2 linked regions of the Anolis sagrei genome follow. The protein of the gene in region 2 interacts with the protein of the main gene of each other region in a pairwise test. Links are inferred from orthologs where the notes say so. Each region holds a gene or a part of one and is shown on either strand. Other genes may lie near its edges.

Region 1 (7,979 bases), on a different chromosome or scaffold from region 2:
AGGAGGGAGCAAGCTTGTTTTCTGCTTCCTTGGAGACTAGGACGCAATGGAACAATGGCTTCAAACTGCAAGAAAGGAGATTCCATCTGAACATGAGGAAGAACTTCCTGACTGGGAGAGCCGTTCAGCAGTGGAACTCTCTGCCCCAGAGGGAGTGTGGTGGAGGCTCCTTCTTTGGAAGCTTTTAAACAGAGGCTGGATGGCCATCTGTCAGGGGTGATTTGAATGCAATATTCCTGCTTCTTGGCAGAATGGGGTTGGACTGGATGAAGGCCCATGATGTCTCTTCCAACTCTTTGATTCTAGGATTCTATGATTCTATGAAAATTTTTACTGAGCACCTATATAGGGTCTGGAGAACAAGCCCTGTGAGGAGCGGCTTAAAGAGCTGGGCATGTTTAGCCTGAAGAAGAGAAGGCTGAGAGGAGATATGATGATAGCCATGTATAAATATGTGAGAGGAAGCCACAGGGAGGAGGAGGGAGCAAGCTTCCTTTCTGCTTCCCTGGAGACTAGGACGCAATGGAACAATGGCTTCAAACTACAAGAGAGGAGATTCCATCTGGACATGAGGAAGAACTTCCTGACTGGGAGCGCCGTTCAGCAGTGGAACTCTCTGCCCCGGAGTGTGGTGGAGGCTCCTTCTTTGGAAGCTTTTAAACAGAGGCTGTATGACCATCTGTCAGGGGTGATTTGAATGCAATATTCCTGCTTCGTGGCAGAATGGGGTTGGACTGGATGATAACCCAGGAGGTCTCTTCCCACTCTAGGATGCTAGGATTCTTTGATTCTAGGATGCGGCCTAATCCCCCCCGGAAGGCCTGCCCGGACTGGCCTCTGCCGCAGCGCCTCCTCCTGCTCCTTGCCGGCCTCTCCGTGCCACAAGCCCCGCGGAGGGAGGCCAGGCCTCGGCCGGGACCTCGACCGGGACCGCGACCTCGACCTCCGGGCTCGGCTGCTGCGCGGCGGCGAGGAAGGGCTCCGCGAGCGGGACACCGGCGCCATCGCCACGCTCCCCACACACAGGCCGCACTCGCTTCCGGGTCTCGACGCCACCAAAACAAACAGAGGCCCCGCCCACCAGGACGGAGACGTCACTTCCGGTGGAGTGGCTGGCTAGCGTCTTAAAGGGCCACCACCCACAACTATTGTAGCACAGAGAAGGAACAATGAACAAGATTTGGACTCACTGCGTTATTGTTGTTGTTCTATTATTATTATTAATAATAATAATAATTATGTACTATTATTGTAGTGTTATGCCTGTGTTATTAATACTTCTGTATTATTACTACTGTATTACTTGGACAGATACTGGTCAATGGACATTTAATCAACTACCAAACTCACAAATTTTGTATTCTGTATTTTGTCTGTTTGTTTGCTTTGTTCTTGTTAGAAATGTAATATAATGTACTGGTTGCCCTGACACGACAAATAAAAATAAATACTACTGTATTATTATTACTTCTGTTTTATCATTATTGTAATTACTGTATTATTAGTACTTCTGTATCATTGCTATTATTTCTGTATTGTTGCTATTGTAGTATTACTGTGTTATTATTACTTCTGTATTATTGCTATTACTTTATTATTACTGTGTTATTATTACTTCTGTATTACTGCTATTACTGCATTATTACTATATTATTATTACTTCTATATTATTATATATTGCGATTTGAATGCAATATTCCTGCTTCTTGGCAGAATAGGGTTGGACTGGATGGCCCATGAGGTCTCTTCCAACTCTTTGATTCTATGATTCTATGATTCTAATATATACTGTATTATTGCTATTACTTCTGTATTGCTGCTATTGTAGTGTTATTACTGTATTATTATTACTTCTATATTTTGCTATTATTGCATTATTGTTGCTTCTGTATTTTTGCTATTGTACTGTTATTACTGTATTATTAGTACTTCTGTATTATTATTGTAGTGTTAATATTGTATTATTAGTACTTCTGTATTATTGCTATTACTGTATTATTAGTACTTCTGTATTATTACTATTGTAGTGTTACTGCTATTGTAGTTATTGTATTATTATTTCTTCTGTATTATCACTATTACTGCATTATTACTATATTATTATTACTATATTATTATTTCTTCTGTATTATTGCTATTACTGTATTATTACTGTATTATTAGTTGTTCTGTATTATTGCTATTGCAGTGTTATTAATGTATTATTAGTACTTCTGCGTTATTACTATTGTAGTATTATTACTGTATTATTAGGAATTCTGTATTATTGTTATTGTATTGTTATGGTTGGGGAATCTGAGCTGTTAGGCTCCAAAATAACCCTCAGTTAGGGCAATGCCACCAAAATATAGCAGAGTACCAGGAGTAAATTCCATAGCCAGCAGAAACTTACGTGTGATGAGCAGGAAGAGCCTCTTAACCTTTAGGAAGGCAGAAGGATTGCAGAGACAATGTTTAGTTTCAAGATATTTATTAAATAAAAAGAAATACATTCTTGACAGAAAAGTCTTGGAGTAAACTAACTTGCTAAATCTCATCTTCTAAAGAAGGCAAAAAGTAATTCATTCAATGCAGCTACGTCCCTCCAAAACTGGCAGGAAGACACGTATCTACCCTGCTCTATGCAGGCGATGCATTGATACTATCCAGAACTCAAGTAGGCCTGAAAAGAGCCTTGAGAGCCCTAACAAAATATTGTAATGAAGAACAGCTTCATCTTAATAATAATAAAAAAACAAATTATGGTGTTTGCGAAACGACCCAAGCATCATACCTGGAGACTAGACGGACACAATATTGAACAGGTCTCAAGCTTTAAATACCTGGGAGTATTCTATCACTGCACTGGAAACAAGAAAGTACATGTGGATTACGTAGCAGACGCAGTGCAAAAGAGCTCATATGCTATCCTAAAGTTTCTCAAAACAGGAGGAGGCCACTTTGGAACACCCTCCCCAAAGACATTAGACTAGCACCCACGTTGGTAGTCTTTAGGAAGAACTTGAAGACCTGGCTATTCCGATGTGCCTTTCCTGAATAGGATAACCTCCAGCACTACGTCCCAGAAGCACTATTAGAGCTTAAGACTCTCTGCACATTGCACTTGCCCAGAATCCCAACATATCACCTCTTACACCCAGCACTTTTTTAACCTGTACCCTTCATTGGCCCGACCCTGGTTTTATTGTGTAATAGTGTAATGTTTTGTTGTTGTTATTGCTTATGTTTTTAATTTGCTTGCATTGTATTGTTATTGTCTGTTGTTGTTGTTTGAGGCCTTGGCCTTTGTAAGCCGCATCGAGTCCTTCGGGAGATGCTAGCAGGGTACAAATAAAGTTTAATAATAATAATAATACATACATACATACCAGCAGCACTTAAGCTCTTTGAGGCAAAACCAATAGCACAAATGATGTATGGAGCCCAACTCGGTCCCTTCTCAAACTATGCCCCTCTGGCGCAGGTACAATCAAAATTCCTAAGATGAGCGATGCAGATCCCCAGATGTGTCTCAAACGCCACCCTGCGACTAGAGACAGGCCTCGTGAGAGTGGGGGCGAGAGTGTGGACAGCCACCCTCAATTACCGGCTGCATCTGTCTCTCTCAACATGTGGCCTTGCTCCGTTAACTCTGAGAGATGAATTTCAGTCTACATGGAATAAGGCAGTGGCCATCAAAATCACAACTCTAGGCTTCTCTCAAGGACAACTGCTAGGTGTGGGATGGGACCAATCCAAGGCTCTTATGAGACAACGGATCCTGGATAGAGAGCGACAATGAGCCTGCTCTCCAGCATTCACCATTAGCGAAGGTAACAGATATCTCCTCGCTCCCAGGGCTTACTTAGCAAACCTGGAGGGGTTTCACTTTGGCAAGATGCCATGCCCTTCCATCGGCAGTACTGGAGGGGAGGTACAGGAAGACCCCTGCCCAGGAGAGACTTTGCCTGTGTGAGTCTGGCTACATTGAAACAACTGAACATGTGCTCCTCCAATGTGTGTTCTATAGAGACATTAGAGCTAATTTCATCACTCCGTGGCTTTTAAAACATCCAGGGCACACTGAAAGATATTACACCTCCCTGTTGTTCTCGGACTCTTGCTCTGCAACAACCTACAGTGTTGCCAAGTTCTGTGCAGCAGCAATTAACATGAGACGGCTGATGACCGACTCCACCAGGCAACTTCCTGCCGGGAATATAGTTAGAATGATTTGCAATAACTGAAATGCTGTAAATGCTCCCCTCTCATCCCTTTTTAGAGCTTCCCAGTTGTCTGATATTTGCATTAGCCGCCCCACTATTTTAGATTCATACATGCACTTTAAACTGTAAGTTTAGTCTGCTTTTTAATCTGTCTCTTTTATAACATGCTTTTAAACTGCTTTTTATCTGACCTACTTGGGAACTACGATTCCCTTCCTTGGGCTCTTGTGCCCCATTCTGTTCTGTGCTGATCAAAGACCGTAATAAATCATTCATTGATTGATAGATAATGCAGCTACATTTTGCCTACAGAGAGGCAAAATGCGTCCTCGCTGGAAGAAAGACAAAAGAGGAGGTCACATGGCGGAGACTGCCTAGCCTTCCTGGGGCAATTTAAACTTAAAAGGCAGTTGCTGAATTCCATTACTGTGCCATCAAAGTGGGGAGGAGGCAGTGGCCAGCAGTAAAGACAAGGCCCTTTGAAAATATGCACAGGAATGTGGGGAAAGGAATCCCTGAGCTTGGCCCTGTTTCTAGGCCAGCTACTCATTAAGGACTAGAAACTTGATGCAACAAAGACTTTTGAAACCCAACAATTAGTACTTCTGCAATATCACTGTATTATTGTTGTGGTGATCAACTTCTGCTCGTTCACTCTTCTCTTTCCTATCTCTAGAGTTCAGCCCAGGTGTCACACAAATCTTCCTCCCCCGCAGCCTCCAATGGGTGCGTTCCTTATTGCTGTCCGTGCGGCAAAGGGGGGCGGTCCTTAACGTTCCGGGAGGCCGTCCCTTTGTGAGGCAGCTTCCGAAAGCGGGAAGCGCGAGGATGGAGCCCGGCGCCATGAAGGAGGCGGGAAGCGAGGCTCCCGGTGAGAGGAAACCCTTCCCTAGATTAGTTTGGATGCAGCTACACTTTAGAATGAACCCAGTTTGATACCGCTTTAACTTCTAGGGCTTAATCCTACGGGGTCCTGGGATTGGTAGCCTGGCTAGGCCCCTGCATTCTTTGGAAAGGACCCTGCGAAACTCTGGCCCCGTCTGCACTGCCATATAAAATCCAGATTATCTGCTTTGAACTGGATTATATAGCAGTGTAAACTTTGATAATCCAGTTCAAAGCAGATAATGTGGATTCTTTGCTTTGATCAGGATTATATGGCAGTGTAGACTCAGATAATCCAGTTCAAAGCACATAATGTGGATTCTTTGCTTTGATCAGGATTATATGGCAGTTTAGACTCAGATAATCCAGTTCAAAGTGGATCATGTGGATTCTTTCCTTTGATAATCTGGATTATCAAAGCAAAGAAAGGGCCTTGCTCATTCTGGATCTACACTGCCACATAATCGAGCATCTGATCCCAGATTATTAATTTCCTTTAACTGCCTTTAATTATGGATCTATTCTGCTATATCGTCCAGATTTTATCAAAGCAGACTATCTGCTTTGAAGTGGATGATAAAGAGTCTACACAGCCCTATAATCCAGATTATCAAATCAGATAATCTGGGATCAGAAACTGGAATATGTGGCAATGTAGATGGGGCCTCATTCTTAACTTCGTACAAATGTTTAGGCCCCTTCTGCACAGCCATATGAAATCCATATTATCTGCTTTGAACTGGATTATATTGCAGTGTAGACTTGGAGATTATCTGCTTTCATAATCTTAGATTATATGCCAATGTAGAAAGGGTCTTATTCCTATTGTAAGAGTTAACTTTTACCAGTTCTGCACTGCACACACATTTAAATGTGTTGTGAAGGGGTGGTTTCAATGGGCAGGTTACACTATATGTGCCTTATTTATTTTTTGCTTCCCAAATGTTTGTTAAACTTGAAGCAAACAGGTCAATTCAAACTAAATCAATATCTCCAAAGAAGGAGATTCTGGCTTGCTGGTAACAGCCTGCATAATGGATTGGATCCTTGGAGATAGGTTGCAACCTGACCAAGAAATGTTGTGTTTTGATCTAACGTTATCATGGGTTTGGGGCAGGTGTGTTCACTTTTCAGCTGGAAAAGATGCAGTTTGCACGAAGATGATGAGATGCATGAGATGACATGTCTGTACTTTAGGCAACTATGGGCTGCCTTGATTTGAAATGAGCTGTTGCTTTTATCGATTCCGACCTACAGAGAGTCGATCGCAAATTTTTCCTGGCAAAACTTGATCAGGGAAAAAAGAAACGCTTTGCCATTGCTTTCCTCTGGATGTGACAAGGTTTCTGCGTCCAACTCTGGTCTCCACGGTGCTTAAACAACAACACATCTTAGGCCCCATCTACACTGAAATATAATCCAGTTTCTGAATCTAGACTATCTGTTTTGAACTACATTATAGGGCAGTGTTGACCCAGCCTTTGAAGGACAGTATTGTGCATGTTAGGATACCATCCTCTTGGAACAATAGTAAGTAAAATAAAAGGAACTAGCGGTGGAGTCAAACAGTGTGGGGAAATCAGATCTGATATTTTTCTCTTTAAAGGGGATACAAATAAAAAAGGAATACTGGAACTATGTGTCCCAATAGACAAGTATTTCCGGTATTTCTGATGGTAGAGAAAGTACAAGCAAGTGCGGTCTTGCTTTTGTTATTCCCCCCCCCCCCCACCCTCCAGTTCTGTAGGCTGGATCTACAGAACTATATAATTCAGATCATCAGTCAAATAATCCAGTTTATCTGATTTGAACGGGGTTATATGAGGGCCCTTCCACACAGCCTATATTCCTGGAATATCAAGGCAGAAAATCCCATAGTATCTGCTTTGAACTGGGTTATTTGAGTCCATACTCAGACAATGTGGGATTTTCTGCCTTGATATTCTGGGATATAGGGTTGTGTGTAAGCGCACTGAGTTTGGACTCAGATAAGGCTAATAGAGGAGTTGTGGACCAAAACATTGGAGGATCAGTGAAAGCTCAGTGGATGGCATTAGATGAGTCATATTCTGGTGTTGTTGAAGGCTTTCATGGCTGGAATCACTGGGTTGCTGTATGTTTTCTAGGCTGTATAACCATGTTCCAGAAGCAGGAGATAATGATTCTGGAATATGGCCTTACAGCCCGGAAAACTCACAGCAACCCAGTCATATTCTTCTTGAATAATTCATAAAGTTTTGGGGATAATACAAGGTGGAAAAAAAGTGCTACCTACACCTCATGCTCTGCTATTGGAAGGCCAATGCAAGCTTCCTAAAAAGTTCTTGCAGTGTGTATTCGAGGTGTTGATTGTGTTTGAGTTGTTGATGCTCTTTCAGGGAAAGCAGGGAAAGTACAAGAGCAATTGCTGCCATTTCAGATGAATGGGCGTTAATGGGCTGCTGTTTCCATGTGAAAGGGAAATGGCAATTGCTGCCTTTTCAGGCGGATAGGTCTTTAGCTGCCCAACTCTAACAGAGGGATTTATTTTTAATGGCTCTGTGAGATCGCACCTTATAAACCCAGGGCAGAATAGTTTTAGAGTGATGCTGCAGAGTGATTTTAAAAGGTGAGAAGTCCTTTACGTCAAAATATGTTTGGTCAAAATGCCATCTTGAGGCCAAGCTGGTGCAATTTAGGAACTAAATCAGCAGCTTTGTGGACAAAAGGTTAATCTTAGAGATACTAAGGAACTGTGGGAGTTGAAGTCCAAAACACTTGGAGGGCCAAGTTGGCCCATGCCTGCTCTAGAGCAAAAACATAGAAGGAATGGCTTGTATTCCAGTGTGGTTTTGGTTCAGTGGCACCCATTGATAGGGCAGGTAACAAATAGTCTTGTTGTTTGTTTGT
Region 2 (7,533 bases):
TTTGTGTGAAGGGAGGAGATTGTTTCTTTCACACAGGCAGAAATGCAGAATCTCTAGCATTTCAGAAAACATTATTATACTGCCGGGCGGGTGACTGCCGGAACTGGCCCACCACACACTGTGCTGTGGTGAGACCCCGAAGGTATGAAACCCCTCCCCTGCTCCTTTTTGAAGTGCCTTTGTGTTCATGCTCCGGAGGGAGACAGCCAAGCTGTTTTGTAAGGGGCTTGGTATGGCCCTGGGAGAGTGAGAGAGTTATGACCGCAATTCCACAGCATTATCTACCTCGGAGGAACAAGAGAAGGCACAAAATGGCACGGAGGAGCCAGTCCAGGAATGCAGCCGGCTCCTCCAACAGCTGCCTTCTAAATTCTCCCCTCCTTTTGGAATTCTGTCCATTTGCTACCATTATGTGGTAGAACGAACGCAAAGGCTGTGACAATTGTCCCCTTGCTCTTTGTATCTTAGTCTGGCAGGAACATCTTCCATAGGATCCAGGATCAACTGGGACTGCTTTTTCTGTACCAAGCTGGACCTCCTAACCCTCCAAACACCGGGAAAAGATTCACAGACCTTATTAGCACATCATACTGAACAGGAGTTTAACAAAGACAGGTCTGTGCCCTAATGAAGACACAGCCTTCATTAGGGAGGTAGTAGGAAGACAAACTGGATGGACATCAGTAGAGACAGCTCAATCCAGGGTGGATCTCACAGGCAAGAAAGATACAGATGAATGCTAGACAAGGACCTTTTCCAGGACAGAGATGTTTGAAGCTAAATAAGGGCCTTTCCACACGGCACTATATCCCAGAATATCAAGGCAGAAAATCCCACAATATCTGCTTTGAACTGGGTTATCTGAGTCCACACTCAGATAATGTGGGATTTTCTACCTTGATATTCTGGGATATAGGGTTCTGCGGAAGGGCCCTACGACTCAAGATAAGTCCAGGCTGCCAGGGCTTCCCACGATTCAAGGCACAATCCTGGGATGCACTGAATGCCGATAGGATTATGGCCCAATGCTATGGGATCATGAGATGTGTAGTTTTGCAAGGGGCTCATCGAATGCCATTTGAAACGGCTTTCACTGCCATTACAGCCCAATGTCATGGGGTTGTGGGATGTGTAGTTTTACAAGCGTCTTCTGCCTTCTCTGCCATGCAATGTTTGTGCCACACCAAACTACAACTCCTTGGATTCTGTTGCACTGAGCCATGGCAGTTAAAGCGGTGTCAAACTGCATTAATTCTGCAATACACATACACATACACACACTAAAGAGATACATAAACTCCAGATTAATCACAGCAGATGACCCCTCCTTTAACTAGAGCAGGCGAACTTGGGCCCTCCAGGTGTTTTGGACTTCAACTGTTACAATTCCTGTACTCAGGCCCTTTAAGCAGCCGAGGGGGAAAAGGAAGGGGCCTGAGGCTGTTAGGAATGATGGGAGTTGAAGTCCAAAACACCTGGAGGGCCCAAATTGGCCCATGCCTGCACTAGAGACTCCTAAGGCCAGGTCTCTCTTTGCCATTCAGCTCAATGGGCCACCAAGGAGGGGCAGCTCTAAGAAACCTTAAGCCAAACTCCCAAGCTTGGGACGCAAAGCAAGTTGGTAGAAGACACAATGCAGTGAGCCAAGCTCCACCCCAGGACCCTGAGAGCGACCCACACATCCCTTCGCCTGAGGCCAAGAGGCCCACGCCCTCCAAAGGGAGGCTCAGCCACCAGCACCGTCTCTTTCTTTTGTGTGCATGCATCTACACTGGGGAATGGACACAGTTTGGCACCACCTATTGGGGCTCCAGGTTTGGGGAGTGGCCCTCCTTGGCAGAGAAGAGTGAAGACCTTGGTGAAACAACCAGTCTTAGGAACCATGGCAAAGAAAGTAGTTTCGAAGTGCATTCATTCCACAATGTAGATGCACTCTGCTGTTCAGCAGTGGAACTCTCTACCCCGGAGTGTGGTGGAGGCTCCTTCTTTGAAGTCTTTTAAACAGAAGCTGGATGGCCATCTGTTTGGGGAGCTCTGAATGTGATTTTCCTGCTTCTTGGCAGAAAGGGGTTGGACTGGATGCCCCACGAGGTCTTTTCCAACTCTTACGATTCTATTGAAAAGCTGGCCAAGACTTCACCCCCTTTATACCATTTCAGCTTGATGCCTTTTAGCAAACCTGGGCCCTCCAGGAGTTTTGGACTACAACTCCCGCAATTCCTAACAGCCTACCGGCTGTTAGGAATTGCGGGAGTTGTAGTCCAAAACACCTGGAGGGGCCAAGTTTGCCCTTGCCTTGGTCTACACTCAACATGGAATGCAGTTCCAACCCGGTGCAGTTCTATGCTGGAGCAGATCCAGCCAGAGTTGGCTTTGCACTTCCCCCTCCTCCCCTTCGGCGCTTGGCTTACCTTTGCTTCCTTCTCTTCCTCCAACTCTTCCTTGCTTCTAGTCTTCCTTGACCAATTATTATTCTCCTTTCCTTCCTTCCTTTTCTGCTTAGGAATCGAGTTGGAACTTTCTTAAGGTTTCGAAACAAGAGAGAGAGAAAGGAGTGTGTCTTGAGTTTTCCAGGCTGCCTTTCTTCGCAGAGAGCCACCAACTCTGCTCTCTCTCGCGCGCGCGCGCGCTCCCGTTGTCTCGCGCTCCCTCTCCCTCTCTTGACAACTTCCCTTGGACTGGGCTTGCCTTTGCAAGACCCGCGCGCGTGCAGTTGCCTAACAAAGAATTTAAAGCGCCCCACTCCTTAAAAGAGAAGGAAGAGAGAGAAAAAAAACAATGGAATGGAGGGGGGGAGGTAATGTAGGACTCCCCGCCTGCTCCTCTTCCTCCTCCTCCTCCTCCTCTTCCTGCGGGACTTTTCTCTCCTGGCTGGCTTGCTCTCTTTCTTTCTTTGCTTCTCCCCCTTCCTTCTTCCTTCCCTCCCTCCCTCGCTCGGCTCCAACACCTAAAATGGAAGTTGCGCCCAGCCAAAGGCGAGGCAAAGAGGGAGGGGAGGGAGGGGAGGGGAGGGAGGACCGGACCCCCCTCTTTCCCGGAGTGATGTCAGCTCCCGCCCGGCTCCAATGGGAAGCAGGCATCAATCAGGGAGCCCGCCGTCCAATAGGAGATACCATTGTAGCATTTGAGGGGGGGAGGAAGGGAGAGAGGGAAATGGGACAGGACTCACCCAGAAAAGAAAAAGGAAAGAAGGGGGAATGGCAAGGGGCAACTTCTTTCTGCAAAGGCTGTAAAACAAAAGACATCTATGTTCCTGGCAAATCCCAAAGGAAGGAAAACTTCTTTCAATGGGGAATGGGTGTCGTTTCTTCCCATTCAGGGGTAGAATCAGAGAATGATAGAGCTGGGCCAACCAGTCCAACCCCTTTCTGCCAAGAAGCCGGAAAATTGCATTCAACGCACCCCTGACAGATGGCCATCCAGCCACTGTTTAAAAGGAGCCTCCACCACACTCCGGGGCAGAGAGTTCCACTGTTGAACAGCTCTTACAGTCAGGAAGTTCTTAGAATTACAGAATCCCAGAGTTGGAAGAGATCTCGTGGGCCATCCAGTCCAACCCCTTTTGCCAAGAAGCAGGAAAATTGTATTCAAAGCACTCCTGACAGATGGCCATCCAGCCTCTGCTCAAAAGCCTCCAAAGAAGGAGCCTCCACCACACTCCAGGGCAGAGAGTTCCGCTGCTGAACAGGTCTCACAGTCAGGAAGTTCTTCCTAATGTTCAGGTGGAATCTCCTTTCCACAGCCATGAACTGTAGGAGCCATAGAATCATAGAATTGGAAAAGACCTCGTGGGCCATCCAGTCCAACCCTCTGCCAAGAAGCACAAAAATGGCATTCAAAGCACCCCCGACAGATGGCCATCCAGCCTCTGCTTAAAAGCCTTCAAAGAAGGAGCCTCCACCACACTCTGGGGCAGGGAGTTCCACTGCCGAACAGCTCTCACAGTCAGGAAGTTCTTCTGACTGTGTAGCTAGCTACACTAGAATTAATGCAGTTCGACACCACTTTGACTGCCATGGCTCATTGCTATGGAATCCCGGGGTTAGTAGTGTTGCAAGGCTTCTCACCTGCTCAGCCAAAAACTGGGGTGCCCCACCAAGCTACAACTTCCATAGCATTAAGCCACAACAGTTGTAGTTGGTGTCAAACTGCATCCTTTCTACAGTGTAGATCAAGCATAGACACCCGGCCCTTCCACACAGCCCTATATCCCAGAATATCAAGGCAGTAAACACTACATCTGTGTGGATTCAGATAACCCAGGGCCCTTCCGGACAACCCTGTATCCCAGAAATATTATAGGTATTATTATTATTATTATAGGTAAAGGTTGTCCCCTGACATTAAGTCCAGTCATGCCCGACTCTGGAGGTTGGTGCTCATCTCCATTTCTAAGCTGAAGAGCTGGCATTGTCCGTAGACACCTCCAAGATCATGTGGCCGGCATGACTGCATGGAGTGCTGTCACCTTCCCGCCAGAGTGGTACCTATTAATCTACTCACATTTGCATGTTTTTGAACTGCTAGATTGGCAGAAACTGGGGCTGACAGCGGAAGCTCACGCCACTCCCTGGATTCAAACCTGCGACCTTTCAGTCAACAAGTTTTGCAGCTCAGTGGTTTAACCCACTACGCCACTGACACAAAAACACAGTATGACACAGCAAACGAGATATATATTCTGGATTTCATATCACAAAATCATTATTATTGTTGTTGTTGTTATTATTAATCCCCAACAATACTAATTCTGATTTCATTTGAGCCCAGCTTTTAAAATACGAACTAACATCCTATTAATTTTAATCCCAATGTTTATTTATTCTGGCTTTCTTACAGGACCACCACATTTTTATTCCTTTGTATCCTTGATTTTAGGAAGGAAAGAAACGAGGATGCTACACTGCCTGTAACAAAAGGAACATAAGTTTAGATTTCTACAGCCTTTACATTATTACTTTTATAAATGCATTCAGATTTAGAGACAGCATCGTGCAGCATATTTGTGATGTGCAATCAAGTCTTGATTAGAATTGAGAAGCATTGTTAATGGACAGCAACTGGCAGGCTTTATTTTGCATCTTATTATGAAAATATATTCAAGATTACAATGAGCAATTTACCTTCCCCACCTTCCCCACACCACTTTTCTATTGATATATAGACAGATAGATATATAGTCAGTAATGAGACAAGTATATTTGGAATACTTGCTGAGATATTTTTCATTTTGGCTCCCAAGAATGAACAGTGTTTGTCACCCATCGATTAATGGTGACTCCATACATTTCATAGGAGGTTCTTCAGCTATATAGGGCTTACAGATACAAAGGAAAACAAAAGTGTTGCAACTTCAATAGTTGCACAGGATTTTTTAGCCCATGTTTTTGTCATGCAAGTTATGCATGCTGAAGCACCTTCTTATATGCAATATGTTGGAGCCCCCAGTGGCATAGTGGGTTAAACTGCTGAGCTGCTAAACTTGTTGACCGAAAGGTTGCAGGTTCAAATCTGTGGAGCAGCATGAGCTTCTGCTGTCAGTCCCAGCTTCTCCCAACCTAGCAGTTCAAAAACATGCAAATGTGAAAAGGTCAATAGGTACTGCTCCAGCGGGAAGGTAACCGCACTCCATGCAGTCATGCAGGTCACATGACCTTGGAGGTGTCTACGGACAATGCCGGCTCTTCGGCTTAGAAATGGAGACGAGCACCAACCCCCTGAGTCGGACACTACTGGACTGAATGTCAGAAGAAAACCTTTACCTTGACCTTTGCTAAGTTGCAGGAGACCTATCCTCTTTTTTATGTTCTTCTTTTATTTCTGTTCATATTCTTTGTTTTGGTATCAGGTAATTTTAATTTTGCATTTATAAAACACGAAATATCATCTTGTTGTCTAAATTTATGGGCAAGTACAGGAAGTAGGAGCACTGTGGTGTTCTGTTTTCTGTGTGTCGCCACAGAAACCCACTAGGTCACTTTGGGTATAACCTCCGAGGAAGACAATGGCAAACCCCCGCTGAATGACTCTTGCTGGGAAAGCCCCATGGTGGGTTCCCTTTCAGGGAGTTGGAAACACCTTGAAAGTAAACAACAACCTGGTAATTCAAAATGGAACACCATCAAGGTTTTTTGTGCCTTGGTCATTTGAAAAGAAAGCTTGAGATATACATATTTTTGCTTTCAGGTTGTTACATGGCTTCCGGTTTGTTTCTACTTGGGCAACTCTATTGTACATTTTTCTTGGTCAAGTTTGCTTTTGCCTTTCTCTGAGGCCCAAGATCACCCAATGGATTGCTACAGCTGAGCAGGGATTCAAACTCTGGTTTCCTGGAGTCCTAGCCCAACACTCAGACCATAACACCATATCCTCCCAATGTTTCACGGATGAAAAGTAGAGCACATATGGCCAAACAACAAAATATGGTCAGGCTACCAAAAGTTATAACTGAGGAAGAGCATTCTTCTTGTTGCTGGAGAAATGTTTAGAGGAGTGGTGGTTCTCATGAAAGTTTTCCTTGATTTAAGTCTACTGAGAAGAGGCTTATAGCCATATTGTGGGTGGCTTGGATTCAAGGGTGACATGTATGCCCACTTCGACTCACTTTTGTTCAATTTTGTCCAGTTATTTAATAATAATTATTTATATAACTTTTACCGAGGACAGCTTGAGAAGACATCCTAATTTTAATTGCATTTGGAGCTCATTTCACCACTTTAGCATGAACTTTGTACATTCCTGTAATATAAGCTAGGAAAGCTGTCATCACAAACCAGGGTTAACAGGATTAAAGCACTGTATCAGGACTTTCGAATAGCAAGGGTGAGTACAGTATATCATCTTTCCCCACCCTTCATTGTTCCCTCTTGATTGCTCAGCTGTAACCCTGAAAGTCGCTGGGAGATAAAATGCATTTTCCCAATAGCATTGTATTGTTGTGAGCTGTCCCTCTTGTAATGCAAAGTTTCTGGGAACGTTATCCTCTTGAAAGAGCTATTAAAACCCATTCGTTTTACAAAAGGCTTGTTGGTGGTGATAAAAAGCATCTGAGGATGCTTGCCATAGATGTGGGTGAAACATCAGGAGAGAATGCTTCTGGAACTTCCGAAACTCACAGCAACCCTGTGATAAAAAGTTTCCTGAAATGTATCTTTGCAGATCCCAGTATTTTGAGATTCTCTTATTGTAAGTGTGGCATTGAAACTGGTGGGTAACTGAGCTTCAGGATTGATCACTGCATGTGCATAATTTCTGTAACATTCAATGTTATACAACTTTTCCTATAAAACTGGCAATATGTATACTTCAAGAACATTTAACAGAATTATTATTCTCATTTTTATTATTATTTCTTGCCCACCTCTCCTTATGAGTTAAAAACATTAATACCAATTAAAGTACACAATCCGTTTTAAAAGCATACATATTAAAGTCAGCATTTTAACACTTGTAATTTAAAAACCATCTGAATACCCTGGGTTGTTTTAGGGTTTTCGGGCTGTATGGCCATGTTCTAGAAGCATTCTCTCCTGA

Evidence for each region.
Region 1: the proteins of CTNND1 (region 2) and ZBTB33 interact in binary tests that used the Homo sapiens proteins (3 or more experiments, as listed by UniProt). The link is inferred for Anolis sagrei from reciprocal best matches to the Homo sapiens genes CTNND1 and ZBTB33.

The regions. Positions count from the first base shown.
Region 1 is NC_090030.1:3,275,075-3,283,053, forward strand, and holds the start of ZBTB33 (transcriptional regulator Kaiso), read left to right. Parts: upstream 1-4,978; 5' UTR 4,979-5,033; coding exon 5,034-5,076; intron 5,077-7,979. Other genes in the region: NKAP (NF-kappa-B-activating protein), read right to left, coding at 836-1,005. UniProt on the Homo sapiens protein: Transcriptional regulator with bimodal DNA-binding specificity.
Region 2 is NC_090021.1:234,377,197-234,384,729, reverse strand, and holds the start of CTNND1 (catenin delta-1), read right to left. Parts: upstream 3,002-7,533; 5' UTR 2,412-3,001; intron 1-2,411. UniProt on the Homo sapiens protein: Key regulator of cell-cell adhesion that associates with and regulates the cell adhesion properties of both C-, E- and N-cadherins, being critical for their surface stability.